3 linked regions of the Neurospora crassa OR74A genome follow. The protein of the gene in region 2 interacts with the protein of the main gene of each other region in a biochemical or structural test. Links are inferred from orthologs where the notes say so. Each region holds a gene or a part of one and is shown on either strand. Other genes may lie near its edges. The genes, in order: ckb-1, NCU01447 and ckb-2.

Evidence for each region.
Region 1: the proteins of NCU01447 (region 2) and ckb-1 form a complex in vitro, tested with the Saccharomyces cerevisiae proteins (2 studies listed by BioGRID). The link is inferred for Neurospora crassa OR74A from reciprocal best matches to the Saccharomyces cerevisiae genes ELF1 and CKB1.
Region 3: the proteins of NCU01447 (region 2) and ckb-2 form a complex in vitro, tested with the Saccharomyces cerevisiae proteins (2 studies listed by BioGRID). The link is inferred for Neurospora crassa OR74A from reciprocal best matches to the Saccharomyces cerevisiae genes ELF1 and CKB2.

What each region holds. Positions count from the first base shown.
Region 1 is NC_026506.1:1,756,423-1,766,960, forward strand, and holds ckb-1 (casein kinase II regulatory subunit), read left to right. Parts: upstream 1-4,287; 5' UTR 4,288-4,720; coding exon 4,721-4,879; intron 4,880-4,948; coding exon 4,949-5,791; 3' UTR 5,792-6,333; downstream 6,334-10,538. UniProt on the Saccharomyces cerevisiae protein: Regulatory subunit of casein kinase II/CK2.
Region 2 is NC_026505.1:4,705,887-4,716,424, forward strand, and holds NCU01447 (hypothetical protein), read left to right. Parts: upstream 1-4,141; 5' UTR 4,142-4,551; coding exon 4,552-4,599; intron 4,600-4,892; coding exon 4,893-5,031; intron 5,032-5,114; coding exon 5,115-5,162; intron 5,163-5,225; coding exon 5,226-5,407; 3' UTR 5,408-5,751; coding exon of another isoform or gene 5,752-5,803; 3' UTR 5,804-5,882; coding exon of another isoform or gene 5,883-6,054; 3' UTR 6,055-6,132; coding exon of another isoform or gene 6,133-6,491; 3' UTR 6,492-6,564; coding exon of another isoform or gene 6,565-6,716; 3' UTR 6,717-7,008; downstream 7,009-10,538. Other genes in the region: rib-3 (GTP cyclohydrolase II, variant), read right to left, coding at 191-203, 272-341, 420-505, 626-655, 756-918, 1,007-1,010, 1,065-1,220, 1,297-1,379 and 3 more; NCU01448 (hypothetical protein), read left to right, coding at 3,139-3,262, 3,400-3,423, 3,476-3,903; NCU01446 (uracil phosphoribosyltransferase, variant 1), read right to left, coding at 5,752-5,803, 5,883-6,054, 6,133-6,491, 6,565-6,716; NCU01445 (hypothetical protein), read left to right, coding at 8,410-10,538. UniProt on the Saccharomyces cerevisiae protein: Transcription elongation factor implicated in the maintenance of proper chromatin structure in actively transcribed regions.
Region 3 is NC_026501.1:3,446,223-3,456,760, forward strand, and holds ckb-2 (casein kinase II subunit beta-2), read left to right. Parts: upstream 1-3,717; 5' UTR 3,718-4,091; coding exon 4,092-4,148; intron 4,149-4,231; coding exon 4,232-4,477; intron 4,478-4,559; coding exon 4,560-5,114; 3' UTR 5,115-5,855; downstream 5,856-10,538. Other genes in the region: NCU11228 (DUF1339 domain-containing protein), read left to right, coding at 40-2,217, 2,276-3,040; NCU02755 (PAP2 domain-containing protein), read right to left, coding at 6,186-6,928, 7,013-7,455, 7,540-7,820; NCU02757 (mitochondrial 54S ribosomal protein RML2), read right to left, coding at 10,064-10,168, 10,233-10,306, 10,369-10,538. UniProt on the Saccharomyces cerevisiae protein: Regulatory subunit of casein kinase II/CK2.

The sequences.
Region 1 (10,538 bases), on a different chromosome or scaffold from region 2:
CGCAATCTATTAACGACCGTTAGCCGTATACACAATTGAATGAAGCTATTATGAGACCTTACTCTATCGTTGCACAATTATTCTAAGCGATTATTCGTTATCTTTATTATTATATAATCGAATATCTTTAACTTTATAGTATTTGTTAATATACCGCCGCCCGCCCACCGTACGTCGTGTATTCGCCCAATAGGTTAAACTTCTTCCCAACCGATAAAAATAATTATATTTAACTGCAATTTAATAGATTTGCCCACTAAAATAACCCCTAGTCCGTTTCGGCTAATTACTCCTAACCGAAGCACAACCCCCCTTACCGAAATCCAATCGTTATTAATCCGCCGCTACAAATTAAAATTAAAAATATAATTACTGTTATCCCTTAATAAATATACTAATCCGCTAGCGAAACTACTATTTACCTCCTCTAATTATAATAATATAATTACTACCTTTAACGCATTATAAAATTACTATGTATAGTAAGGCTTTATAGTAATATTCCGAAGTAATACGAAGAGTAAAAAGAGGGGGGATAAGGGTATAATTATTTGTATTAACTACTATTATATATATAGGCGCGTTTATAAAGCAATTAAGCAAAGCGTTTATAATACTATATTAAAGAAATTCAATTACTTATATTAAGTAAAAATTATATTGAGGAAGAAGTAAGGTAGTTAGTAATTCGCCGAAGAGATTAATAACCGCTATAACTACTATATTAATATCACTAACTTTACTAATAATATTATATATTAATAATAGGTACGCCGCTATTATAAAGATACTATTAATACCGCTATCGAAAAGCTATTTAGTATTACTAGAATAAACTCTCATTAAATTACTTATTATTTGAACGGCACCCTCAATATTAAAGAAGAAGATTTCGCCGCTATTTAAATTATAGATCGTAATAGTCTAGTAATTGAGTTATGCAGTCTCCGGGTCCCTATTACTACCTAGGAGGTTTTAAATATCCAAAAGGGTATTCGTTATATAAAATATAATCCTTATACTTCAATAAAAATATTTATTAACCTTCTAAAGTAATATAAGAACCTCTATAACATTAAATACTTTATTAATTATAACCCCCTCTTTCCTAACTAGCAAAGGGTATCGCGGGTCTTTTAAACATTCAACTAATATATTTAAATATAGAAGTAAAATCCCTATATATTACTAGTAGATAATACGTATAAAGTAAGTAATCTATATACTATTATATAGGAAACCGACTTTTTTTTATAAAATCGATTTCTTTAAAAAAAACCGATTTTATAAAAAAAAGTCGATTTTATAAAAAAAAGTCAATTTCCCACTATAATATACTATAGTACAATTAATTAACTATATCTCTATATAGGTAAACCGCTTCAACCTTCCCCTCCTTAACGTTACTAACATCGATATATTAAATTATAACTTTAATATTACCTTTAATCTCTCGAACGGAGAAAGATAAAAAGACTTCTAGTAGTAGCTTAATTATTTAAAGAAATTTTAAAAGGATTATAAAATTCTTAATCCCGTAGTACTTATTACCGACTTCGACCGAGGATTTAAAAAGGCCGCTATTATAATATACCTAAACGTACTTTACTAACTCTACGTATAATATATTATAAAGAACATAAACTACTATATTAAAAAAAAGTAAATTCAATTAAGTAGTACTAAACTAATCCCGGCCGTTAATATATTAAATCCCCCGCTAACTACCCGGGATTTAGATAGCCGTAGCCCCAATCCCCCATTTTATATTACTCTAATTAATAATAATAGTAATAATATCAATATTAATAAACACACCGACAATAACCCTAATAAAGAAGACCCGGAAGAGGCTAACAATACTACTACTACTAACCGCTTTACTTAATAATATAATAATAAATAAGGGGTTTGTAAAGTAGTTAATAAACCGCTAATTAAAGCCGTCGCTCTACAATATTGTAATATACTAGCTTTTAACCCTATTTGTCGGTTTTATTAAAATATATACAAGGGATTTTAAATTAGGTAGAAGTAAGTAGTATATATTAATAATAAGGATTACTTTAAACGGATATAGTATTTACTATACTATGAATTTAAAAAACAGACTTATAAATTAATATATTATATTACCCCTATTATTTCTACTATAAACTATATTCTTTTTTCACCCACCGTCTTTATTTATTCAATTAACGACCTTTTATTATAATTCTACTAGCTTACTTCTATAAATATTACTTACTATAGATTAATAAGTATAGTAACTACATAGTATTGAAGCTTAGAAATTATAGTATCCGGGTAAATAGTAGAATCGAATTTTCATATAAAATTATTAAGTACTTACTTAAAAATCAATTCTCCTTTTTAAATTAATTATATAAATATATACAAACTTCGTACCGCTTTTAACGAGAGAGATTCAAATTGAGATTTGTAAAAGCGAAGTAGTCTTATTTCTATAAATATAAAAGAGTAGGGATATTTAACAATTTAATATTAAAAGTACATTAATTACACTCCTTTTATTATTACCCTTATATATAAAGGTTTATATAATTAACCTCCTTTTTTTTATTTATAGGTAGCGCCGTATACCCTCAAACTTCTATAGTACTAATACTACTACATATATAACAATTAGTTTAAAAACCTAATTTAAAACCTAAATACCAATTATAAAAAAGTATTTACAATTTAGTACGGCTTACCCTACAAATATTTTATATGAAGATTATTATAGATAGATCCCCTAATATTATTAATAATAAGGAATATAAATATATACTAGTAATTGAAATTAAATAGGCGTACTAAATTAATAGAGGTTAAATAATACGCCTATGCAATCTAAAACCCTACTATATTACTTAATCGCCAATAATAAATAATTATCCCCGATCTAAACCTTATAGATTATATACGTAGAGTATCGGAATATAACTTTATAAATCCGGAGGTTTATAAACTATATAATTTTAAAGGTAATTAAGGATTGTCCGCCTAACCCATTAACCCCATATTTATCAACCGTAACCAGTATAATAACTACTATATATTCTCTTATAATAAACCGCCCTACCGGGTAATATAGTAAAATACTTAGAGAAGGGGGAGGGCGCTAATATTTATATTTCGCTACTATAGTAAAAGTAAAGGAGGAGGAGGTATTTAACGAGCGGTAACGTAGGAGTTAATAGGAGAGGGCCTTACGCGGGTAGATTTAGAAGTATTTATTTAGAACTTTATAGAAAGTATTATATTATAGCAAATATTAATATTAAAAATACCGCTAGCTCCCTTACCTTCGCTTTTTTACCCCCCAACTCCCTTATAGAGAACTCTAACACCCTCTCTATCTCCTTATCCCTAAGTTTAATAATAGCCGCTAATTTAGTAATAGCCATCTTATAACTATATACTAACTCCTACCGGCCCTAATTAATTCAATTATAAATTATTAGCTTCTATTAAATAGCTGCCTTAATACTAGGATAGTCCGCCACCTTCTAACTAATAATAAGGGGAGGGATAGGTTATACTAGCAATATAGTATAAGCGAATTCCAGCCCCTATAGCACTACCTCTAATATTTCTAGTATATTTATAGGGATATAATATAGGGGTTCTCCAATACTCTAGGTAGTACTTTGGATAGTATTTATACAACGGGTATTAAAATTAGGGTAGGCACGTACACTCTAACTCTAGGCAATAAGTATAGTATTAGAACTAGCAAAGAGGACAGTAGTATTACTAGCAACTATAGTATTAACCGCCTTAGTAGTAGATTATTAGGATAATTAACTAGATTAACGATTTTTGAATACCCTTATATAAAAAAGAATAACGTAAAAGACGTAGATCTAGTAATGCGCGGGCATCGGTTACGTGGCCTCTATTGTATGTGTGTACTGGCTGGGCGGCTGGGCGGCTGGCTGGGCTTACTCAGCGAAAGTATGTGGGGGGGACTAGCCAGGGACCAGTTTGGGTCTAGCCAGCTACCTTTTGCGTTCATCAACCATCACCAAATGGACCCTTTACTTATCTTGGTTCCACCTGATAAAGTAGACGGTTGGGTTCCGACGCGCTGCCGCACGCGCATGTGGCAGGGCTCAGCAGGGTTATGTGAGAAGGCGCAAAAATCAGGCATCATACTACCGTGGGGCTGGGCGCGGGGCTGCTCCCTGCGGGAAGGGTTGAACGAGGAGGATTGGGAAGGGCCCAGACTGAAAAGACGGGGCGCGCCGCACAGACCAGACACCCACGAGTGGGCTGTAGCACGAAATGAGGGCGCGGGCTTCTTCTCGAGCAACCCCAAAAGGCAAACAGACTGAGCCATCGAGTCGACGGCCTCCGTTAGCGCAAACTCCAAAAACAGCACAGGAAGGGAACCACCAACCACCTCCTTCGCTGCAACACCACGTAGACAATCATTGAAGCGCCTAGCTATTCTGTCTGTCCTTTCGTCCATCTATTTGCGCCATCTCATGCGCTCGGTCATGTCTACGCAATAAACAATTGAACCCTTCCATCCAGCATCGCAGATGAGCGTCGACCCCAAGGGACACTAGCTATACCCAGTCGTCGTCTTGCGCCTTTCGATCGCACTCATCAGATAACGTCCGATAGCGGTACCAACAGCCTCATCGAACGCCTACTCCGTCGCCAAACACTCGAATCGTTTCGCGTCGCTTCCATATCCAATTCCACCATGTCGAGCTCGTCGGGCGTTCCAGAGTCATGGATCGCATCTTTCTGCTCCCTCCTGGGACACGAGTATTTTGCCGAAGTGTCAGAAGAATTCATCGAAGATGACTTCAACCTTACTGGCCTGCAGACCCAGGTCGCCATGTACAAGGAGGCTCTCGAGGTATGCTTGTTCTGGAACCTTTTTGTCCGTTACGTCAGCAGCTAATCATTGTGGTTTTAACCTGACTAGATGATCCTTGATGTCGAGCCCGAGGACGATGATGACGAGGAGGAGGAGGACGAGGAGGACGAGGAAGACATGTCCGGTGGCGACGGCATCAACAAGCCCCACGGCGAAAGGAGACATCACAGCCGCATCGCGAGCGATCTTTCTGTGATCGAGTCCTCGGCCGAGATGCTGTACGGTCTGATCCATCAGCGCTTCATCTGCTCGCGGGCGGGTATCCAGCAAATGTCGGAAAAATACGAGCTCGGTCACTTCGGCATCTGCCCACGCACAAACTGCAACCAGACCCGCACGCTGCCCGTCGGCCTCTCGGACACGCCCGGCGAAGACACGGTTAAGCTGTTCTGCCCGTCTTGCTTGGACGTCTACGTACCGCCAAACAGCCGCTTCCAGACGGTGGACGGCGCCTTCTTCGGCCGCACCTTTGGCGCGCTCTTCCTCATGACCTTCCCCGAATACGACTTGACCAAGACCGGCGCTGAGAGCGTTAGCAATCTCACACGATCCGGCTCTGACGACACCACCGTCATTAACGGCATGTACGCGCGCAACATAGCGCCGGGGCTGGGCAGGGGCAAGATTTACCAGCCCAAGATCTACGGGTTCAAGGTGTCAGAAATCGCGCGTTCCGGGCCACGCATGCAGTGGTTGCGCAGCAAGCCTGACGACTTGAGCGTGCTGGACGAGGCTCGTCGCTATGCGGAACAACAAGGGTCGGATGACGAGGACGAGAGCATGGGTGTGAGCAGCAGGACAGCTTCGAGGCGGCGGGGGCCTCCTAGGAGGCAAAAGCAGAACGGGAGTCCGATGGCGATCGAACAGAATGGGGCTGAGTCGGAGCTTTGAGGTCGAAGTTGTAGGCTGGAACTTGGGTTTAAATGGATATTGAAAGGGGAGGATCAGGTTTTGTAGGTAAGGAGTAAGGAATTGTGTGCGCAAGCATCTGGACAACGGACTGTTGATCACTTCTTTTTTACATCTTCCTCTAAACCTGGCATTGATTTGTATCACACGCACAAATATCCTTTGGGCTTTCTTTCTGATTCTCTACGTCATGGCGGGGGAATGGACGGACGGGTTCAGGAATCGGTTACAGTAGCTTGCAAGAGCGCTTTTTGGTTGGGTTGGGGTTCTTCTTTTTTCTTTTCCTTTTTCTATATCAAGGTTGATTTTCTCTTACACAGCGAACTCGGACGTAAATTCGCATTCCAATGATGATTGCATGCCGGTTATAGACGATGAGAGGAGGACGCAATATTGTTCGTTCCTCTTGTGGTTTACCCGTCAGTTCGCAACGCAGTTTTAAATTAAATCATCTTGGTTTTTCCACTTCACTACCACCCCCTACGCGGAGGAACCCCTTCTGACCATGGTAGCTACATTCCAAGATAGGTATTTTTGTTGCTGGCAAATATGGGTCCGTCATAAGCCGGTCATACGGGAAGACTCTGTCAGTAACATGACCATCGGATTACTCCATCCTTTTATCTATGACCTTTTTTGTTTCTTCCTTTTTTTCATTTTCTTTTTCTCTTCCAACTCCCCCCCCCCCCCCCCCCCCCCCGACCTACAATTCTTGTCTTTCTTCAACAGTCTTGTTGACTATTCTCTCGATGCCATACTGTCATGCTGACTCACGCAGATCTTAGCCTGTCTTCTTCCTATACTGCGGCTACCGAATTTTGGGATGTGAATTTACAAAATACCTACCAATCAGGAAAATGGGTTCACATCTCACAAGCGTATGTTACCAATCTCATCAGCCTGATGCAAAGAACGACCGACGACGAATATACAAGCTATATTAGTATTGACAGAAGAAGACAAAGTAAACAGATTGTGATTGTTGTTGAAGACAGAGATGGATATGCCAATTTATTCGAGGAGTGACAGATACTCAAGTTGCTATGTACCTTGCCCGAATCTTCGGGCCCGGCTCCTGCCTCTCCGTAACGACGTGAAAAAAAAGATTGTGATATTAGACTTTGGGACATCTAATGTTACTGCTACTGTATACGAGTGAGAAATGCGCAAATAGGCTACGGTGTGACTCCAACTCCGCATTTCAAGTGTTTTGCACTGTCGATGCCCCGTTGTAGGTAGTCCCGGGACGGGGAACGTTGCGGTTCCGTCCACTCCACTTCTCCGGTCGGTCGGTCGGTCGGTCAGTCGGTCGGTCGGCGGAAACCCCACTTGTTTCCCTCCGCCACCCCGTGCCCGGGGGAGAGGGGGCCGAGATGATGACGAGCAATGATAAGCTTCCGTCACTAACAGTTTACATACTGGTTGTCACAAGAGTCTGGGGTGCTCCCTCCCGAACGGCAAGTGTCGCGAAATTGCATGCTCCTCTTTTGTTGCGACGTACCAACGGTACAGTGCAAGAGATGTATTTTTTTTTATATATATATATTTTTTTTTTTAATTTTTTTTTTTTTTTTTTTTAAGAGCTGGGGAGAAGTTATAACTCTTCGTGATATGAGCGCTCCGGCCATGGGGAGGATGAAGAAATGGCTGGCTGACTGACTTCCATGATCGATGTCAATCACATAGGTAGGTATGTAGCTGATAATCGCGGCGATCAACGGCGAACGCTCGGTATCTTCATTTCTTGACGATAAATCTTATCGTCCTTGACCACAACCGCCATTCGGCAGAACATGGATCTTCAAGGTATTCGATACGATACCGGTGTTTGTAGGAAGACGAACAGAACCACAGAGAAAGGAGTGAGCAACCAAATACAACGATGAGGCAAGGAAACCGATGTTGGATTTGTAATCCAGGAAGAACAAACATTAACACAACATGGGGATACATATTAAGGCAGAACCGCGGATGACGGCATGTAACCCATGAGAAAGCTGAGGCGGAGAAGGTTACCTTTGGGGATGCGAAGGATGGTGTCCCCACAGGAGACTCCAAACCTCGTTGGTCCTGTCTCCGGTTCGCGGTTGGGTATGACATATAAAAAGAAGAAAAAAGAATTGCTGAAAATAAAGAGAAACTAACGGGCTGGACAAGACCGTGGGGAAAACCTTAATCGGATGGTTGGCGATATGCGGTGCGTGTGGGACGTAGCGTATCATATCGACGGTGAACTAGACATAGGTATTCAAATAACGAAGTGAAATACCGTGGTACAAGACACGCCACCAGATCCCTACATGTAAGGTGATACAACTAAAACGTTGAAGCAGGTATGCACTTGCCGTCCTGTACCTATGTGTGATGCACAGAATGTACTATATCTTGGTCGATTTGTAGATGGCGTTGTCTGGTTGAGATGGCTTTGCTGCACATGCAAGCGGCATGAATGGACACGTTGATGAGTGGGGTCAAGTCAACTAGGCAACACAATCATGCTGGGTACGTGATATGTAAATATCATAATGATTCATTGTGGTCAACAAGGGAGGGTGGAGGAGACACGATACGGTCAGAGAAACTACGACTAGAAAAGAGCGGTCATTCGAGTCACTCGCCGACTTAAGTTGCACTTGTCATGACCCCTCCTCACTCTTTTGAGTTGGCCGATCACCGAGCTTCCAGAGCGATAACTACTCTTGAGGGTATATACCTAACCATCACTGGACGACTTGTCTGGAAAAGAAATGGGTACCTCGCTGTAGTGTATCACTCTGGACACGAGAAAAGCACATGGTAGTGTTTCGGGACCACACCCTTCACGCCCACCGGGAAGGATTCCAGTTGATATTGACCAATGGCATGCCGTATTTGTAGCTCCACCGTCCCCCACAAGTCGTCGACAATCGACATCCTCGCTGCTCACCAAATGCAGTGTGTGATAGGGTACGTACCGCGGGGGTTCAGAGCCTCCCAGAATATCTTGGCGATTGAAAGAATTTAGATTGTTTTCGGCACCATTTCCATTCTTTTGTGTCTTTCCCCGGAGACCCCTCGTCTTGAAGGTTGACGAGATGGCCATCATCTCCACGTTGCTACGAAGAGCTGGGGGAAGTACGTGCTCGTGGAAAATGGACCGGATAGGTAGGTAGGTAACCTGGTAGACCAGAGAAAGGCGGTGATGTGCCGATAACATCTGGTCATGGACCTGACATGGATTCCCTCTTCCACTTTTGTCAGTGAAAGAATGGTGCAGTAAGGACCCCTGTAACTGCATCCTCCAGGAGCCAGATATTGCATAAGTTAACATGTGTGCGTGCTATTTGGTGCCCAGAATTCCCTACTCTGAGTTACATGCTGTTTCAGGGGATTCCACTGTATCAGAGTTTGCTTCTGGAAGGATGTACCTGCCCCAACTAATGTACATAGTTGTACACTGCAGTAGTGTGAGCTGGTGGAGCCTCCAACGAGAGGGTCGGTTAGGGAAAGGTCGACAAAGACGGGGAGGCGTCCCGTTGATCCAACGGCTTTTGACATCAACCACCAATCAACTATGCCGTTGTTTTTTTTTGAATTTTCTCATCGGGTACACTTAACAGTCAGCACCTAGTTTCGTCACAATACCGTTCGAAAATGAAGAAAGAAAAACAAGAAAGAAAACAGACCACAACGAATTTGCGGAGTTCGGCAGAATGTCCCCTCTGCTTGCATGGCTGGCTCGGCTGGTACCTGAGCAAGTCGACGTCGATTGGAGCTTCTATCCGCCAAGAAGCGCCGATGGCACTGCAATCCCCCTTTGCCATCCAGGCTCCCCCGGCCGTGTTGGTTTCCTGTCACCGGAAAGAAACCTAGCACGCCGAACTAGCAGAAACAACCCTTGCCCGCTATATGGGCGACATGGTGTTCCCACACTCAATCGCCTGTGCAGTCTTAGCAAGAGGTGTGTGTGCGTGCACACACACACACACCGCATTTGACAAATCTGGCCATTTGACATCGCTTTACACGACTCAACTCAATTATTTAACATCGAAATCTAGCCAAAACTAGTGCAAAAAGTCGATATTTTAATGCTCTACGTCGTGCAATTATCTATTTTAATATTTATATTATCTTTTAAACCGTTATCAATATAGTACACTACCCCAATACCCGCTAGAAGGTATTAATAATAATAATACTAATAAATAACGAATATCCTAATAACATTACTAAAACTATTAGTATAAATATAAGGAGTACGTAGAAATATAAATATATTTTATCGGATATTAGCAAAATATTTTTACTATTATAAGCTTCCTAGAATATTAAAAAGCTTCCTATATAGGCGCTTAAAGTATAATATATACTATATTACTCCCTATACTTTATTAATTATAACTAATATTATAAAGGAAATTATAAACCTCCTTATATTGAAACTTAATTTATACTTCAACGAAATCTATACCTTTCTAGCCAACGAATATAATGTATACATTTCAACCGAGACTATATAGTAGTACCTTTAATAGGAGAAGTAGAAGAAGAAGCGACTCTATATAAAAGTATTATAATAATCCCCTATACTAGTAACTAAGTAGATATTAAAAATCTTTTTATTTATTATAAAGATATTTGTATTTTATAATAAGTTTAATATAAACCGAAGGGACGGCACTTATTATACTAATTAGGCACCCTACAATACTATTACAATAATATTAAGTAAGTTTGTACGCAATAT
Region 2 (10,538 bases):
GTGGTAAATGCAGGATCGAATTGAACAACCATTCCTACCAAGAAAGTGTGATGAGTTATATATGGTAATCAAAGAGGCAATGACGGGCCTGCGATGGGTTCTCCCAAGATGCAGCTGCTGCCCGAATAATCTCTCTACAATCCATGACCAAACTCCTTTGTGCGTCGTATCCTCCGTGGGGTTGTTACTTCTAGTGGTCGATGCTGTGGTTACGTTAGCCTCGAGTTTCTTCGATTCGATAATGAGCGACTTTTGAAGAGGGATAACTTACTCTTCCCATATCCGACCTTGCACCGCTTTGAGTTCTTCTTCCGTCATTCTGTGACCTGTCGTGAAGTATCCTACATAACAACGAATCCTCGTCGGTTAATCTGCCTTTCTCCACAGAAACATTGGAAGAGTAAGTGGGACAAACATACCGGCGTTGATCTTGGCATCGATCTCTACTCTCGAATCGGCTGGAATCCAGCTTTCGGGGAGCTCAACACGCTCTAGAATAGGGATACTGTGCGGAAGGTTAGCATCCATCAAGCAAAAGATCGCCGGCTCACCACAGGTGCAGGTTATGCAGCAAGACCCGAGCACAACGGCACACCACATAGTTGAACAGAAAATGCTAACTCACCCTTGGCCGACGATGGCGTCGTGTTTCATGCTAGAAAGTGACCATGCATTAGATCGAGGATCGGTGATACCTCCCACAAGGCAAGGAGAGCGCGCGCAGTAGGGGAGGAGAGGGGTGTGGTGTTACTCACTTGCTCATGCTAAGCATTCGGTCAATCTTGGTAATACCCAGCCAATGAAGAATATCAGGCATCAGGGCTTGGAATCGCATATCCTTTACACCGGCAATGTTTTCGGTGCGCTTGAAATAGTCCGATGCAAGATCTGCCCCGCGCTTTCTCGCGTTGTACACAACTGTAAAAGGTTCCCGGTTAGTCTCTCACCCACGAAACGAAATCCCCTGTATGGGACGAGGTAAGGATCAACTAGGAACTCAACATACGATACTGTGACGCTGGATTAGCATTTAGTCTTCATGAGCAGAGTTTTGGAACACAAACCTTTGTGACTTCGCCCAGGGCACGACCTTCCTTACGGAAATAGATTACCACGCCGCTACCGCCATTCTGAGCCTCCTTGACGGCCTCCTCAATACCGAAGATGAGGTAAGGTCTGCAAGTGCAGATATCGGAACAGAAAACATCACTACCGTTACACTACATAGAAGGTGGCTGTGTCAGCAGTGAAAGATGTGTTCGAGAGACAAGACATTCCATGAGAACGAGAGCCTACCTCGTCGTGTATCCTCAACGCAAGTTTCTTCGAAGGGTCTGACATCTTCGCGGGATCGCCGAAGCAGTACACGGTCAAACCACCTAGGAAGAGACGGTTAGGAATCTGTAACACCACACCATGACGGGATACACAGCTGATGATTCTTACCGATAGGGGGCAGGAAGACCTTGATATCGGAGCGCGTAATTAACTGGCTATTGTATCAGCATCGTCTGTCCGTAAAAGTGCTATAATCCAGCGGCGCCAATTACCTCGGGATACATGCCACCCGTATGCTCGAAGAGGGATCTGCGCAATGTGCCCTCATCAATACCGAACCGTTCGGCAACTCCGGGGAGGTACCAAACAGGCTCGACGGCAAACTTGGTTACTGCAAGTTCACCGAGGCTGTTCAAGCAGATCTTGCCATCTGGAACCAATCTGCCGCTCTTAACACTCTCTTCAAGCTCAGGCAGCTTCATATGGGCTTTCGTGATCGCAATTGTCGGCCGGAGATCAACTGTCGATAGCCAGTGTCAGTTTCCATCATATGCAAATAGGGATTATAGACAACAACAACAATAACAACAACATGTGAAAGTACGTACCACCCTCCTTATCCATGAGATCCTTGAAGATCCAAGGAACCTGATGGCCCCAAGGATCCATGGCTACAATCTTCTTGGGATCTCCCCATTGAGGGAAAGGGCCAATGTTGACGGCGGGCTCGGTGTTGGTGAAGTCAGGCTTGTGGTCTGGATCCAGCTCCTTACTCGCCAGAGCCAGCGCGTAGTAAATCGAGTATGAACCACCGTGGGCACCAATGGCGTTACGTCTGCGGATGGTCGAGCCAGATCGGATGACAGCTACCGGGCCACGCTTCACGGGATCGGCCGCACCCCATTCCATCGGTAGAGGGTTGATGCCGATCTGCTTGGGATAGGTCGTGAGCACGACGCGGTTTGAGAAGTTGGACTTTGTGACATCGGCGGGCGGAGATGATGGTGACATGGTGCCGGCATCCGCCTGCAAGAGCGGTGGCGTCTGGACATAGCCGGAAACGAGCGGGGTGGTGACTGGGTTTGGAGCTTCGCCGTTGGGTTTCGACGAGGTTTCGCGAGTCTTCTCCAAGCTGCTCACACGTTGAGAGATGGATTCAACCGCCGAGATGAGCTTCGTTTGGCCTTGGGCGATGGCCAGCAAGGCATCCTGCACACCTTCCAGACCTGTAGCCATTGTAACCAGGTCTGACTGTTGGGGCAAATGGGGGAGGAAGGGCAGTATCTAGTAGGCAAAGATGATGATAAAAGAGATAGATTCTAGTAGTGGTTTAACAGACGGGAGACAAAGGGACGGGATGGAGGCAACGTCAGGAACAAACAGACGAAGATACTGAAGACGATGGGAATCTGGAGCAACCTTGAGAGAGACAGTCAGTCAGTCGGGCGACACGAGGGCCAGTTATAACATGGTAGTTATCGACGTTCCCGGAGGAAGTGGACATAGGACTAATGCTTCCACTTGGCCATCCAACCTCTCCTCTTCCAGCTCGTAGTGTACATGCACTCGCCGTCGCCAGGGGCATACCGTACCTAAGTTGCCCGAAGCCACCGAAGGCCCCCTCGTGATAAGAGGATGTCTTTGGCCATCGACCACTCGATGGTTTGCAACACGTAACAAGAGTCGGTACAAGTTGCGTCTCGGGCAATCACCGGACGCGGAGCGTGTTACTGACCAACGTTACCAAGCAAGATAGCCAGCTGATCGATAACAGGGTGTGTGTGGCATGCCCGTAGCGCATCCTCGATCCCTGTAGGTAGACTGGAGTAGCATGCTGGGCTGCCACTTTTTGGGTCAACCATGCTCCCCACAACGGACGCCGGCGGCGGGGTACCGCAATCGGATCGAGTGCCGTGGCTGCGGATCTCGGAGACGAGCGCGCCCTGTCCCCCAGTTCCCTTCCCGCCAGTTCCAAGTGGAAGCGGTATGTACCGTATGTACTATGCAGTTTAGGTGGTCCCTTGTTAGTAGAGGTAGTCATTGTGTAAGCAGAAAAGGAACGACACTGGAGAGGTCCCGCATAGTGTAGGGAAAGTGCAGGCCCTGTGTTCATCACAACAGAAACAACATGGGGGTGTATGGATTGTAAGTGATTGTTGACACCGCGATGCAAGTAGTATGTATGGTTACCGCTCAGTAAAGAACTCCCAACATCGAAATGGTTGGTGCCGGTACCGGGGAGAGCTGTCATCACCATCGGATACTACCGCTTGCAAGTTGCGCGAGAAATCAAGCAAGGTACCGGTGTTCACGAATTCGATAACGCTGCCCTGCTGCTCACAAGGGAACCTATCTCGGGCCAAGGCCATCAGCAACGATGATAAGCGGGGTGGTCGTCTTATCGAACAGGACGCCTTGATTACAGTATCTCGACAGGTCCGAACTCTGGATGGCGGGTGCTTGGATGTCAAATGCCAGATTTGTCCAATCACCAGTCCCCGCTCGATATGTAGTCGATCCTCCCAAAGCTGGGGGAGGTATTTTGTGGGGCAAGGTGGGGATCAAATTGGCGGGCCCCACGCCAAGGCCCCCGCCTTGAGTTGCAAGTGGAAGTGTGAAACCTGAAAGTCAGCCCTGTCCTGTCATCATGTGCACGAGCCATTGCACCAGGCTACGTGAATAATCTTATCAAGCTTTGGGTTTGTAAAACCATAGAGCCCACAGCCATCACGCGCGCGGCGTCCGAGGGACTCACCTTGGTGAGAACGGTGAGAGTCGTGGTGGGGCAGGCAACACTGAGTGACCTTACCCTACCGGGGGACTGGACGGGGATGGAGCCAAACTTTTTGGCGGTTGCTGTCAGCGACGCCTCCATGAAGGTGCAGAAACTACCTAGAACTAGTGTAGTCGCAAAAATATCAACACCTCAATAGGTAACCACCAACTTTTGCCTGCAAGGAGTCACCCATCAGGCACGTGCTGAGTAAAGTAGCACACGCCTCCATTCTCTCAACGACCGACGTGCTCTTCCCCTTTTCCATTCACCGGCATTTTTCCAGCAATCCGATCTGCAGCGCGTGCGCCAGAAGCACCAAGGGTTTTTCCATTGCGACGCGAATCATCGATAGGTTATCTTCAGCGCTGCCGGCCGCGCACCTGCAGTACTTAGTGACCGCAACCGAACTTGACACGCCCCGGTGCCATTTCAACAAACTTGAACAAACCCACCACCTACAACATCCAAACAACAACAACCATCACGGCAACTTCACAATGGGCAAGCGCAAAAAGTCGTCAAGAAAGCCGCAGGGCCCCAGGAGGGTATGTGCATATCTCGACCTCTACTTTTTCCATTCACCAAACCCAAGAGATGATCGCGTAGTTTTGTCCGTTGCGCGCGCCTCTGGATACCACCAAAGACGTCATTGCCCGATAAGCTTTTTTAGACATTCTGCACCCCCGAGCACCATCTTCCCATATCATACACAACACTCACTACTACTGGAACCCCATCTACATTGTACCCTTCCACCCATCCAGTCATATTATACGCTTTCTTCACCTTGCCCTTGATATCACCAAAGCGCTAACCTGTTCACCCCCCTCTTAACTAGAACGACCCCCTTCCCACTGTCTTCACATGCCTGTTCTGCAACCACGAACGATCCGTCATCGTCAAGCTCGACAAGAAGGCCGGCGTTGGCTACCTCGACTGCAAAATCTGCGGCCAAAAGTTCCAATGCCCTGTAAACTGTAAGACTAGCTCAGCCAACCCTTGGATATACACACAGAAACAAGAGAAGCAGAGGAGTGCTGACTTCACAACTACGATGTAGACCTCGATGCTGCGGTAGATGTCTATAGTGCTTGGGTAGACGCTGCAGGTAAGCAAGCATATGGCCTTGCCCTTGCCATGTTAGAGCTTGTCATTGACTTGGACCAAACAGACGCTGTTGCCCAAGAAGCCGAGGCAAGCGCAAAAGCAGCATCTTACTCGAACAGCCGGTCGACGGGTGGGCGGCCAGCGGCGTCAAGCCGGAGAGCTGCCGATATCGACGAAGATGATGAGGATGACGATAGAGGCTATGGCGGATCCGGTGTTGAGGTTGATGACGATGACTACGACTAAAAGACATCGGCGATTCGACGTTGCGTTACGTCCGCGTAGCCGGCTGGCTGTTTCTTTTTCTTTTCTGTCCAATATCTCATGGGGTCATGGTTGACTGAGCGAAAGGTTTATTAAGGGTCATTATCATCATCAACACGATAGGCGAAGCCGAGCCGAATCTCGATGCCAGTTTTATTTCGACGAACGAAGCCGCACGAACTCGTTTTGTTGAATTTTTCCAGAGTGGGTATTCCATTACTACGCTTGGCATCAAAAAGTCCTCTCAGATAACGCCATTTCCCAAAGTCGATCCCCACCGCCAGGAAGTCATCACAATCAACGATCTACCTACGCCCCTTCACACTTTACATGGAGTAATAGCGATCGCCGAAGTCACCGAGACCAGGGATAATGTAACTATAGCAATTAGAGTCAGTCTCAAATCTCATCATCTTCTCAGCGACCAACATGAGGCGGAACGGAACGGAAAACACACTTCTTGTCATCGAGGCCTTGGTCGACAAAAGCAGTTACCGTCCGGAGCTTGGGGAACTTGGAAGCAAAGTTGCTGATGCCCTCGGGACTAGCCAAAATGTTGAGGAAGATAATCCGCTCTTCTGGAACTCCCCTGGACTTCAACACCTCGACGGCCATAATGGCAGATCCGCCTGCACAGAAAGCACATGTTAGCCGTGGAAACCCCAGCCACAAGGCGCACTTGGTTCTCCCCCAGATCCTAGACTTACCAGTGGCGAACATTGGATCGAGGAGAAGGACCCAGCGGTCGGCAATGTCCTCGGGAAGCTTATCGTAGAAGAGCTTGGGCTGCGCAGTCTCCTCGTCTCTCTGAATAAGGATCTTGCCGATTCTAACGGAGCGGCAGCAGTCTCTCAGACCCTGCTCCATGGCCTCTCCGGCGCGCATGATGGAGACACCGCAGATCTTGCCCTGAAACGCCAAACCATCGTATATGCGGCCGACGGGGGTGGTAACGGGGTGCTCGACGGTGGGGAGGTGGTTGAGGCCCTCCTCGACGAGGAGACGGATGATTCTGTTGGAGTAGAAGATGAAGTCGCCGCGGTCGGTCCGCTTGTCACGGATAATGCTGTATTGTAACCACCGAGGTCAGCGTCTGGCGGACAGCAGTCTGGAAGGCAACTCGAGGCAAGCAAACGCACCTGAGGAGAGCGATGAGCTGGGGAGTTTGAGAGAGAACGGTGACGTTGTCGAAGTTGACGGCGGTCGAGACGGTGGCGGTGGGCTTCTGCTCCTCGGCGCGGTAATCGGGGCCCACGCACTTGGTGGGCGCGATCTCGGAGGCGGTAGACATGTTGACTTGGTTGGGTGAGGTAGGTATAGGAGGATGGACTAAGTGCCGAAGTCGTGAGAACGGATACTCTGCGAATCGTTTCGTGTAGGTGATGTGTGGTCAATGTAAAGAAAGATAGTGTCTCGCGCAAGTGTTCGTGGAGGAGGGGGGGCGGATCAGATGCTTCTTAAAAGAGGATCCTGGGGCAAAGGTAACAGCCTATCTGTAAGCCAGGAGCAGACATATGACAAACAGATTGAATATGAGGGTTCGTGATTGGGATTGAGCGCGACCAAATGGGAAGACGAGGCGGCGCAAACTGCCACCCCCAGATTCGAGGAAGATCAGTAGACTCTACTAGATCTGCGCCCAACCATGTATCAACAACGGTCCCACCAAACCCCTCCCACTTGCAGAGCTGATAAACGGTGGAACTCGGCGTCGCAGAGTGTCAACGGGGACAGGAATTGGCGCCTTGCCTAGTTGGTCGCGTGTGTACTTACTATTTGACTGGGCTTCTCCGTTTACCGGAAGAGGATCGTGGCGGGATGCGGGAACTAGGACAAGAAAGGGGAACTTTGGGACCTTGAGCGATTGTCAGATCAGAAAAAAGTACTGCATTTGCGAAAGGCTTCAGTTCTGGACCGATCCCTGCCCGCTTCTCAGGGTTGTCCGACCTGAGTCGTCCAAGTGGAAGTGGAAACCGTGGAAACGCTCTTGGAGTCCAGCTGGATCCTGCGACCTGGAACCCCGCCGTGCCCGCCGTGAGCCCGCGAGAGCTCCAACGGGCGGCGGGCGGCAGACACCGAAGGCCGTCCAGTGGGAGCCATCAAGGTAGGAAGCATTGATGGGATGAAAAGTTCACCTACTGCAAGAAGTTGAGAGACTTGGCAACCCCCACGTGTTTTCGTCGTCAACAATGCGGTGCCGATATCCGCGCTTTACAATTCTACCAGTCGAATCTAGAGATAAAGGTTTGTATGTGTAAACAATGAGACGGGACGATAACATCAAAAGGCTCTTTTCGGAAATGCAGAAAAAGAGGAGCGGGTGTCTCGAGGGGAACGGCAAGCACAGACCACCATCTGCAGGGTCACTGTGCTAAGAACCTTGTCCTGCCTTTGCCCCTGCCGCCGCCCTTGCACGCGCACCGCACTGCAGTGAACCACGCACTGATGACACAGGGCCACAGGGCAGGCACCGTGACAGACGGAAGCAAGATATTGTGGGGTTCTTCGCAACAATGACACCCGTTTCCACTTCGACTTCTTCCATTTCCAAAACATTGGACTGAACCTACGCGGGACGGAAGGACGGGAAGCGCAACTCAATCGCCTCAACCACACCGCAGCAAACACCGCGGAATCGCTTCAGCCAACACTAACCACGACAATAGCAACCATCTCGTTCCGAACTTATAAGCTCATGCCTCCAGCTCCCCTTCGCCGTCACAATCGCGGTATGCCTTAGACGAGCTGCGCGCATCGGACTTCCACCCGCGCTTTGGTGACTACGCCGCCAACAACACGTTTACTTAACCGGAACTGCCATTGACCGACTACTCGACCTTCAGCCGCCGAACTTGCGATAGTTTCCCGCATGTTGCTCTGATACGATTCCGGCGCCCGTATACCCGATTGACATACATATCCATCGCTGTCAAAGCTATCCATCAACCAGCGCTCCGTTCTCTTGCTCGGCCACAGTCAGCACAATGGCCAGCCTCAGTGATTACGACTTTCCGCCCAAGAAGCGCGTGACCACATACGGCAAAGCTACGAGAAGGCGAGTGGAAGCTTCGACTTCCTCGATCTCCATAAATAGGAGCGCATCCTCTATTTCCGTCAAGACAAATCAGAGCGAGGAAGACATCATAACGAAAGCCCCTGTGACTGCTACCCGCACATCTCCATCGCCACCAAGCTCGCCGGGACCTGCCGTATCTCGTACCACTAGCTCTAGCAACAGAGGTAGGTTATCAACTCAACAGAAATATGGCCGGACCAGCCATCCAAGGCTACACGACGAGTCGCATAGCCAGCCACTGCCAGGGAGCATCGAAACCGGCGAGGATGACGCGAGGGCAAAGAAGAGGAAGATCACTCGGACATATTCGGAACAGACAGACGTACTGGCAGGACCATACTCGACTCCCAATTCATCGCCATATGGCACAGAAACACCTGTCGATGCTTCGAACGAACAGGTTGCAAAAACACTACCGAAGGCGAAGTTGCAGCAAAAGGCCATCAATACACCTGTTAAAGATGTCAAGATGACGGATGCTTTCTCTTCCCGGTCGATTCCAACGCATGCCGCAACGAAGCATCAAATCCCGCTCCGACTTTCGTCAACCAAACCGAAACCGCTGCCTTTGCCCGTGCAAAGGAATCCCTCTCCCCAGCCACAAACAGAAACCTCTGTCACTGCCGCGCCACCACGGCGGAAACGCTTGATCGATGCTTTGGTAGCCCAAAAGGAAGAAGACAGTTCCTCCGATGAAGATGGCAATCCTCCACTGCTAGAAAGCCCTCAAGGCAAACAATCCCCCAAGTTCCAGGATCCAAGCTCCCCGAATCCCTCAACCATGACACCGTCAAAGCGACTTGCTCGCCCAATACTTGCAACCAAGAAATCCGGGCCCAAGTTCACGTATACGCAACAAAGGTCAATGTTGGCCGAAAACGACCCGCTGTTTGACGGCGGTGGATTGGGCGGGATGGGGTTGGATGATAGCTTGTCGGGGGGTGCACTCTTTAACATTGGTCGCCTGACCAAAAGTGCTGCTCTGGACGCCTTCTCGTTTATGGACGAGGAAGACGAGACAGTCAATACAGGAGCCGTTCGGAGTATCCACGAACTGCGACAAGCCGGTGCTAACAGCCGTTTCGCGGACGAGATTGAGGATATTCTCGATAGAGTAGGTCCGCCATCGGAAAAGCCTTCCTCATTACGAAGAGGCGCTTTGTTCGAGCTTGCTCAGAAAACGAATGAAAAGTCGTTTCGGTCACAGCTTCGCAATCATGGCGGCGCCGATGATATGTTCAAGTCGCTAGATAAAGAGGCGGACCTCATTTCTGGCTTTGCAATCGCAGCAGTTGTTGCGAACATGCTGGCCACTTCGGCTTCAACCCTGCTACTCCAACAGCTGAAGGCTCAGGGCTTCGCCGCTCTTATTGAGCGACTCCTTGGCGAGCCAAGAGATATAGTCCAGTTGGCGAAAGAGAGGAAGCAGAATGTGTCGAGGAACGGCCAAACAACACTGGGGACAATCAAGGCCTCTCTACTAAAGCTTCCGGTATGGGAAACTGCCTTGCCTAAGCTTGTATCTCCCAGAACGCTCGCACTTAAATGTCTGGACTTGATTATGCGACAGTCAACCCAAATGTCGGACGAGTTCGAAGTTTTCTCCTCGAAAGTGACCGATCAACTCTTTTCGATTTTGGCCGCTGGCACATCCGACCAGGCCTGCTGGGAGTTCCCGAAAGAGCAAGCATCCATCGATTTCTTCCTCGCCCTGTATGTTCTAGAAGGCCATTCCATCTACGCCATGCAGTCTCACCTCAGCCCTAAATGGACGACTCAGTACGTGCCGATTGCGGCTGATGTGCTGGAGACTACCTTGACCCGGCCTGCGGACAAGTTCAACGACCTAGAGAGCCTCGCCCTCAGGATTACGCTTAACATGACTAATCACAACCACGACGCCTCGGGAACGCTTGTCAACAAGGGACTTCTCCAGAACCTAGCGCATTCGGCATGCGTTGCCTTTGACGTTGTCTTGAATTCCATGCAGGCTGATGCTTTCCTGTCTAAAGTTTATGAATCTCTCATCATGATGCT
Region 3 (10,538 bases), on a different chromosome or scaffold from region 2:
CCTCCCCTTGGATTTCCGCCCTGCTTACTCATGTGTTAGCCAACGGTTGTGTTGGCTGTTGTTGTTCGATCCGAGGCGTCACTCAAGTCCTACGGTACCAACACGAGCTTGATGCTGCGTCCGGACGCCGCCATATTTGTCGTGCGCACAAGCCTGGGCTATCTGATCACCTACTCTCTGGCTACCGATGCCGACTCCCGAGTCTACAAACCCCATTTTTCCAGTCATACCAACGTCCAGAAACGGCGGCAAACCCACGCAGGCGGCCCGGGAGCCATAGCCCCCGACCAAATACTATGGGGCCCCGGTGAGGGATCGGGAGTTAGGGATGTCAGCGTTCGTTTCCGCATGGTTATCAAAGTGGACGCCGGCATTGAGAGTGCTCTGGCTTTGGACGACGAGTTGGTGGTGGCTACGCGGAAACCTGCGGCAGTTCAATGCATCCGATGGACCCCAGACAGCTCCGGAAGTCAGACCAGCACAGAGCTATTGAGCCGCATGGGCTGGGTTGACAAGAAGGTCATGGTTCGCGAGATGACTCACGACAGGCGCATGAACCTGTCCACATGGGTGACCAGTGACGGCAAAGCGTACGCTGTCCAGCGCATCTCTGGCAGCCAACTAGAACCCGATACCAACCAGCCGCCCGACCCAAAGAAGCTTTTCAAGGGCTATTGCTTTTATACGCCGCAGACACCTGGTGAACAAGCCATACGTTGCATCGTCAACGCGGTCTTCTCTCTCATTGCTGTGGGCTGCGCAGATGGCAACATTCGCGTGTTTTCTGCAAAAGATTACTCTGGAAACATTCCAGCTTCTCACGTCCACAACCTCCCAGCTTCAAATAACACTTGTGGCAGACTTACAACACTTAGCTACTCTCCCGATGGCTATTGTCTTTTTGCTGGCTACGAAAAGGGATGGGCAACATGGAGTGTATACGGCAAGCCACTGAGTAACAGCTTTGGGGCCGATCAAACCATTGCTAGCACAACCGGGGAAGAGTGGATATCCGGTGTCCTGGATGCAGCCTGGATCGGAGGTGGCTGTGAACTGTTGCTTGTCGGGCGAGCCCATGAATCGATATGGCTGCTAGAGATGGCACGAAGCGCAGTGACCGGATGCTACAACTCTGCAAATCTCTTCAGGACCGTGCTTCAGAGCACTTCCAGCGTCATGGTCTATAGGGGATATGACCTTCCCGATCTTACTTCGATCTCGGCCGAACCTGGGCTGTGGCACACAGCTAGAATACCAGCCAGCTATCTTATGAACCATTGGCCAATCAGGTGTACTGCCATCTCCAGCGATGGTCGATATGTTGCAGTTGCGGGCAGGAGAGGCTTGGCTCACTATAGCGTGAACAGCAGTCGCTGGAAGACGTTTGCGGATGGGGACGCGGAGAACCAATTTATGGTAAAGGGTGGCATGTGTTGGTACCAGAACATCCTGGTTGCTGCCGTGGAGGCTAATAGAAGCTTCGAACTCCGTCTCTACTCGCGGGAGGCATCCCTCGATAGCTCGAACGTGCTACATACCCAAGAGATGTCGGCACCCGTTGTCCTAGTTACTCCCTCTGGCGAAGACTCGCTGCTCGTTTATACTTACGACAACCTCCTTTACCATTTCATATTTGCACCATTTGGTGGCACCGTTAGGCTGGTGGAAGTTGGTCACATAGCTTTCCATGGCATCATTCGATCACCCGCACGAGTTCGAGGTTTAAGCTGGATTTTGCCCGAGAGCCAGCTCTTAGACGGAGACCCATCCCAAGACGTGGCTCATGCTTCTGTCTTGTTCTTGGTTGATGGCAAGCTGGTCCTCCTTCGGCCCTCATACAATGAAGGCGGTCTCAAATACGATATGCGCGTTATTGCGAACAACCTCGAATTCTACGTTAGCATGAGGGACCAGCCATTTGTGGGCGGCGTCCTGACACCTTCCGAAAAGCAGGTCTTTACGGCTGCGGCTGACGACAGTTTACGTAATTCGCTATGGATCTTTGATGGTAGTGAAATCAAGACCTGGACGGATGTCGAGCCAGTTTTGAGGGCCACCTCTGGAGAAGCCACGAGAGAGCTTCCACCCATGACATCAATCCCTATCGACTTTTATCCCCTATCCGCTCTTCTCAGCAAAGCCATAGTACTTGGCGTGGAGTCCGATCTTATCCAGCGCCGCGATGTCAGCTTCTCCTTCTTCCGTTTCTCGATACGGGTAAGCCCCTCGATCAGAATGCGTGGCAGTTACAAGAATTTCCTGCTAACAATCCCAGACGCACCTCTTTCTACCCGATATACTGCGGTTCTACCTTAGTAATAACAGACCGATTGAGGCGTTGCGGTTAGCTCAGCAATATGAGCACCTTGAGTACTTTGCGCATGGACTGGAAATACTTCTGCACCATGTCCTGGACGAAGAGGTGGATGCCCATCCTCCGCCTGCTCCAGAACATGCCATCCTCCCACGCGTGCTGTCACTTCTCTCATCGTTCAAGCAGTACTTGGACATTGTGGTGCAGTGTACCCGCAAGACGGAAGTGCGTTCCTGGCGTACTCTGTTCGCCTATCTCCCTCCACCTCAGGAGCTGTTTGAGGAGAGCTTGCAGCGTGGGAGCCTCAAGACTGCTGGCGGCTACTTACTCATCCTCCATACCTTTGACGAACTCGCAACAGCAAGCGAGCAGAGTGTGCGTCTCTTAAGCAGAGCAATGCGCGAGGGCGACTGGGAGCTATGCAAAGAGCTGGCGCGGTTTTTAGCAGCGCTCGATGAAACGGGGGACACGCTGCGTGAAGCAATGGAGCTGGCCAAGATGCGAGTGAAGCAGGAAAGTGAGCTGGAGGATGGCCATGGCAGCGTAGGCAGCGGGCTGGGCACAATGCTTGGAGTTCCTCAGGGTGGTGGTGCTAACGGTGCTTCCAGCACTACCAGCTCATTGATTTCCAATACCAAGGGGATCATAGGTAGTGACTGGGATGCTGACAGGCGCACAATCAGCGACGCCGGCAGCGTTGTCAGTGCTAATCGGTACGAAGGTTAATGAAGTGGATGGAAATTGGAAAGCGGATAGTTGGTTGTAGGATTGTTGGATATCCATAGCCGTGGCGCTCACGATCCTACCAGAACGTCACTTTATGATGAAGCGGGGGTCTTGAGCTCTAGACACATGCTGTAGGGCAACACAGATGTTATAGAAGCCGGGATGTTTCAAGATAATCTAGAACAGCTATAATCACAGGCGACTGGCGTTCTTATCCCCCATTTTTATTTATTTATATATATTTTTTTTGGGTTTTCCGTCTCCAACAATATACCTGCTCAAAAATAAGGCACAAACTGTAGCACTGAACGTCATGACGCCCAATAGAATACCTACCTTAATGACAGAGTACATGCTTCCATCCCCAGTACCTGTGAACGTACAATTAAAGTCATACGCTGGGCCGTTGGGCTGACTGAAGGCCGACGAAAGGTACCCGCCCGCTACCTACCTACCTACCTAGGTAGGTACTTAGGTAGTCAGATGGTCGATTTTGCAGACCTGATAACCTACCTCTGTGTAGTGCCCTGGGTAGGTCGGGACTGCTGATAAACAGACTGCGATGAGCCAGGGGCGGGGGGGCACTGCAACCTGCCCTGCGGGGACCACTGCAACGGCGATGAACCCCCCACCAAAAAAAAAAGTCCCTTGTCATGGACTGTCAGCCTGTTTGGCTCCCGGTCTAGAGTCCAGACCCCCTCGCCTGCCCTGCCGTTGCCCTGCACCAGGGACGGCTTTGAACCCTCTTCCACCTGAACTCCCATCAAACCGTCGCAAAAAAGCATCACAATCCTCTCCAACGTCTTGTCGTCATTGTGCCTTGTGCCAGCTCAATCTCATCCGACTCGGACCTCCCACTCCCCATCTACGGCCCGGCGCGCATTAGTTCGGCCCAACAAAAGGTTCAAACGCCGTACTTGACCCCGGCACCCGGGATTTTGGCCTCGTTGATGCGAAGCGCCAGCCGACGGTCGTTCGCGCCCACTTTCCTCCCACCACCACCTTCCTCCCTTCCTTTTATGCGCCGAGTATAGACGTGGTGTCGCCGGCCATGGATGACTTTGTGAGCGAGTCTGAGAGCGACTATGCCAGCTATTGGCGCGACTGGGTATGCTTCTCTTGCAATTGTTGTTATTGTTTACTACAGTAAAGGTTCCCCAATCATGCTGACATTTGCGCGTCCGCCTGCAGTTTATTTCCTCGCGAGGCAATGAGTACTTTTGCGAAATTGACGAGGACTACATCACTGATAGGTTCAATCTAACTGGTCTCAACACTGAGGTCCAGTACTACCAATATGCTCTCGATCTCATCACCGATGTCTTCGACCTCGACTGCGATGACGACATGCGGGAAACAATAGAGAAGTCTGCTAGGCACCTGTACGGTCTTGTCCATGCTCGATACATTGTCACAACGCGGGGTCTTCAAAAAATGGTCAGTAATCAACTCTCAGCATTCCATCTTCATCCAGCGTCTCCTCGTCTTCATCCGTGACTAACGCACTTCCCACCAACAGTTCGAAAAGTACAAAAAAGCCGACTTTGGCAAGTGCCCGCGCGTCATGTGTTCCTCGCACCCTCTGCTGCCCATGGGTCTCTCGGACGTGCCCAACTCCAAGCCGGTGAAGCTGTACTGCGCGCGTTGCGAGGATATTTACAACCCCAAGTCGTCGCGCCACGCCGCCATTGACGGCGCCTACTTCGGCACCTCGTTCCACAACATCTTCTTTCAGGTATACCCGACCCTGGTGCCCGCCAAGAGCGTCGAGCGCTACATTCCGCGCTGCTACGGCTTCAAGGTGCACGCCGCTGCCGCTCTGGTGCGCTGGCAGAACAGCCAGCGGGACGAGATGCGTAGGCGGCTGAGGAAGCTCGAGGTCGAGAGCGGGTTCAAGGACGCCGAGGACGAGGCTGAGCTTGACGATGATGACGAGGAGGAGGAGGAGGAAGAGGAGGAAGAGGAGGAGCTGGCTGCTATGGATGAGGCTGAAGGTGCCCAACAGCAACATGCGGCGGCGGCGGCAGGTACAGCAACGGGAGGCGTTGCTGCCGGCGGTGAAGGCGTTCATTAGAAAGGGCCTGCTGCTACTGGTGGAGAAGCGGATGAAGAGTATTGGAATTCAGAAGCCACGATTGGAGCCGCCGACGAAGCTGACGATGAAGCTGAGCTACCAAACGAGCCAAACGAGCCGAACCATTGGTTGACACCTCTCATGTCTGCTGCTGCAAGGCTGCGACGGAGTCTCAGGCTAGGGGAGGACTATGAAGAGCAGGCTGAAGTGGAGTTCGATGAGTGGATGGAACAGGCGAGGTACGGGATCTTTTGACTTTTGAGGTGGTGGAATGCATATACCATACAGTATCGAGTAACAAAGTATGAGTACAGGTGCCTCTCTTCTCTTTGTTTTTTTGTTTCTATTCCCGCACCCCATAAGCCTCTACACAGCGGACGTCGGGATCGATGCGAATAAGGGAGAGAGAGCCATTGATAGAGTGTTTATGTTCTTTGGTCTAGCTATACGTCTTTTCGGTTCTTACCAGACGATTTCTTCTCACCTTGCCGGCTTTGCTTCTCTTCGTCTGTGCTGAACTGCACCCTTCTCTGTTTCAAGCCTCCTAAAAACCAATCGTCAAATCGACGGGAAGTTGAACTTAACGCTTGAAAGGCAGTCTCTTGGAGCGTGAAAATTCAAAACGACCAGACCATATATCCAAGCGTCTACTGAGGAAAGATTCACAAGCGGTGTCATGCGGCAACACGAACCTTTCAAATACATGAACTGTTACCACAGCATAAACACGTTGATTAATGCCGAAGACCAGTGTGCTCAAACTTCCCTTGAAGAGTTACCAGGTAGATATGTGTACATATGGATAGGTTCCTCATTTCCCTATCTCAAAACGCCTCCTGAACATAAGAGAGACTGTACCAAAACCCATGTTGGTGACATAAAACCATTTGTTGTTCCTCATATTTCCTCGTTTAGAGAAATAATCGCTTTTGTCATCAAGCCCACCCATCCGGGCCAAGTCCCTACTTCCGGAAAATGCACCTTGACTCTTCTGATCCGACAATGCGTCGAAATTTGCCTTTCATATCTGATCGTCATTTACCCGTCTCTGTAAGCTGTGTCAACCTGTTCTCATTGATCAACGTCAAGCGACGGTGGTTTCCTCCCCGTGATGATCCCACCGGGCTGGTCCGGTCCCACATTGCTTTCCAAACCGGTGCCATTGGCCCGTACCACGGGGTGCCCATAGCTGCTGCCGTGATCTAAAGAATCCGGACTCAGCGCCTCCTCCTCGTCTCCCGCGCGATAATACTCGCCGACGTTGTGATCAGTTGAGTAGCTGTAACTGCCGACACCTGCCCAGAACGCCTTGTCGCGACTGCGCGGACCCCAAGCCCACCCAGCACCTTGCGAAATGGGCAGATGGTAGTAGCGGAACGAGAAGAAGGCACAGATCAAGCCGATGAGGTAGCCGAACAGGATGTCGAAGCCGTGGTGGCGGAAGTCGAACCAGCGCGAACTGGCGATAAAGATGGACGCGAACCACGGGATGATACAGATCAGCAGCAGGTAGAGCGGCGGCGCGGCAGCCTGAAGGCGTACGGCGGCCACGGCGCGCGTGTGTCGCGCAAGACGCTTCTCCTCGGCCGCGCCGATGCTGCCGCCCGTGTAGGTCCGTCCGCCCCCCGAGCTTGCGGGGCCCCGCGGGGCCATCTCGTACGATTCGGGCCCACCCATCGCGGACATGGCGGTGTTGTGGCGAGTCCGCGAGGGAAAGGCGGAGAAAGAGGCGGCATCGACATTCGTGCCGGAGGCGAGGAAGGGAATTGTGATGGCGAACTTGCTGGCGATGAAAAGTGAGAGATAGATGAGACCTGGTGGAATGTCAGTTAATCAGTAAATCATGTTCTCAACTACCAAGCAGTGTCTGCTTTAGGTAGGAACTGGTCGGTCCTCACCAGCTGCTGCGGAGCTGGAGTGACCGCTGGGGTAACTCCTGAACCCATCATCCAGCTTGGCCTTGTCTGGATTCATGCAGATATTTGCGCTGACCAGGTGCCCATTCATGCTGGTATTAGCATAACCTCCAACGATATACTTGGCGACATTGGCGAGATCGGGCTGGCATCTCGAAAGAAGATCCGGTCGCGGCTTTCCGTAAAGGTTCTTCATGCCATTCGTGATCAGCCAGGCTGACGCTATCGACAGAGCCAACCCCAGCCAGCCGATATGCAGTTCCCATAGCTTTCGCTTCCAAATCAAGGCCTTCGGCGTGCCCCGAGGTACGGTAGCGCCAGGGACGAATATCAGCGAGATGACGGCAATGAAGAAGATGGGGGCGATCACGCTGATGCATGTTGCCAGCCAGACGGGCACAGTTTCCTTTACTGTAAAGGGGAATCTGGAGAGTTTGTACCTCTTAGCATCACATCCATTGAATGGATCAAGCAGAAACTGTCAGGAAAAACTGTTTGATTTCACATACGAGATATTGGGATCGTAAAGTGAGAAAGGTCTCTTGTTTGGGGTTTTAGCCCCAAAAATATAGCCAATGACTCCGGCAACAGCAATAATGACCCAGTCAAAGACATACGAGACTACCACCACCCATCCTCCTCTCTTCCTCTTTAGCCCACCAGCTCGGGTGTGCCTGAGATTGTCCATCATCAGCGTCGTCGAAGTTGGTGGTGTATAGCCGGTATGCGATGGTGAAATCGAGCGAGCATGTGCTGGAGGGATGAGGAGGTCTTCTGAATCGTCGGGCATGAGGACCTAAGGAGAATCCGAGGGGTGGTCGGATGGGAGAGAGAACCTCGAGCAAAAAAGGGACGGCAAGATGAGAGATCGGAAGCGCAAGTTTGGGTCAGATTGCGTCCAGTCCGTTTAGCAGTCCGCCTGGTCGCGTTTGCCAGCCGGAAAGAGTAGCGTGGGTAGGTAATAGGAGGATGTTTCAATAGGCGCAAGCCGCAGCTGAATGTAAGGGTGAAGCGACAAGAGGTGTGACCAGGCTAATACAAACCTATGGGCTGCAGTGGTTGGGAACCGAGATGATATTTTGGGGAAACTAAGTACTAGTACCTAGCCTACAACCTAGCCGGACTAGCACAAAGATGTCGTGACGGGAGTACGCAGTATGTACGTGAAGCCGGAGACCTGGCGCGTGCATGTAATGAGTGTGCAGAGCACGGCAGAGGTTGAACAGTTCATTCTTGTATCGAACCTGTCGGTCTGACAGAAAATGAGTTTCACCCAGCGATCAGCGTCCACGATTTCCTACCCAAGACGTCTAAGCCTCTTTCTAAGACCGCACGTGTAACGCTAACATAGATTCCCCATGCCTGTTTCTGCACTAGGTACACTACATACATTTTTGCTTGGTCCCCGCAGTCCGCACTCCTCCCATCTGCTTGAAGTCAGTTGACAGGTCGACAATAAGTACTCCCAGCGGCGATGCAGTGAGTCCCGTAACGGCGGCTCAGAAAGAATGAGAACAGTTATAACCAAGTTTAAATGAAGCGAAGAGAAGAAAACCAATGTGAAAACGAGATTATCGAGGGTGAACGAGTTATTCGGTCAAGAGCGGATGGGAAACAAGAGAATGGCAGCTTCCTCGGTGGCATGCCGGTTGAGGTTACAACCGAAACCAACGATCTTGTAACAACCTGGAAATCTAGATCATTCAGGGGGGTGGTTTAGGCAGTGGCCCCTAGCCAAGTGGAACCCCAGTCCCGCGTACCTCTAACGCTACCCGACATGGATGAGGTATGTATGGGGGCAACCATAGGTACCTACCTACTCCCCAGCTTTTCCATGTTAGTGCATCTTAACTCATTTAGTGTAGGGTGAGAAGCACCGCAGAGAAGTACGATGTACCCTAGGTACCTAGGTATATATTTATTGTGCCGACCTGTCGGGGTCGTGAGGTACCAGACATGGTGGCGCACTCAGTTTTCCTTACTAGTTAATGTACAACTACCGATTCCATCGATCCCATTCAATCTCCAGAAGTACAAAGGGGACTGCCCTGAACGAGCGAAACGTTGTGAAATAGTATGTACACTAAAAGAATGGCGTAAACCTTAAACTCTGCCCAAACCACCGAAGAGACGCTTCAAATAGTGTACTCATCACCCCCGTTGATCTTGTGGTATACCTCTATGGAGATGAGACTATGCTTGCCTTTTGTCGACCCTCGTTCCTTCATGGCGTTGTATGTATGGCCGAATTGCGGGCGCATACCGAGACGCTGTCGTGATATGCCCTTACACAGTCAACCACTGTAAAGATACCACCGCTGGAATGCATATAAATCTCGCTGCGCTCAGGTCTACCCACGCGGCTATTTACGCCCCTATTTTTTTTTTTTTTTCAGGATGGCGTTCACAGAACCGGTAGCAGATCTGAAAGGGCGAAGGGGGACGGCATTGTTATTCTGCTCCTTGCAGAAGAGATGAACGCAAAATGTGATTGGACAACTCGACCGACTCCAATGACCAAACGCCTTCAGTTTCTTTCATTGTAGTCTGTTGTCTATAATCAACGCAAAAAAAAAAAAAAAAAAAAAAAAAAAAAAAAAAAAAAAAAAAAAAAAAAGGGAAAAAAAAATTTTTTAATTTTTTTAGGAAAATTAAACAAATTTTATAAGTAAATAAATCAATAAAAAATTTGTTAAGTTGGGGTCGGTATATGACAACGGAGTCTAACAAACCCCATGTGTAGTCTTTGGTACATTCCTGAAGTCGTATGCCGATTTATAGGCACAGTCACGGCCTTGGCCGGGCCCTGAACCACATCGCCGTAGAGTTGCTCAGTTGAAAGTGGAAAACAAAGACAAACACGGCAGATCTCCAACAGACGATGTTATTGGGCCCAATACCCACACATGGCATCCTTCCGGTGATATACTGAGCCCTCGAACTGCCGGCCTGCGAGCAAATGAATAAGTTTCACTACATATTGTACAAGATGGTGGGTATATAGCCCAAGTTGAGCACAGTGGGTTATTTTATTCATGTAGTCTTCTTGTTCCTCCGGACTCCCATGTTGCGGACCCGGGGGGTAACCACCCACTTGTTGACGTTGGACTTTCTGCGAGTCTTGTAACCACCTTTGGCCTACAGAAAAAGAGGGTAAGGCGTCTGTTCAGAGGAAGGAAGGAAATAAAGGGGCATGACTTACAGGTGTACCCCAAGGAGAAACAGGGTGCCTATTACCCTTCGACTTACCACGACCACCACCGTGAGGATGGTCATCTACCAGGCCGTTAGTTGGTTTTGCTCGCTTGACAAACGGATTGTTCTGGGAGTCTACTCACTTGCGTTCATCGCCAAACCTCTCACAGTAGGCCTAATGTTGAGCCAACGGCTTCTACCGGCCTTGCCCAGTTGTCTGTAGTGATGCATAATGTTGCTGGCAATACCAACGGTGGCGCAAGCGTCCTTGCTGACCCTTCTGATTTCTCCGCTCTGCAGTCTTACGTTGACG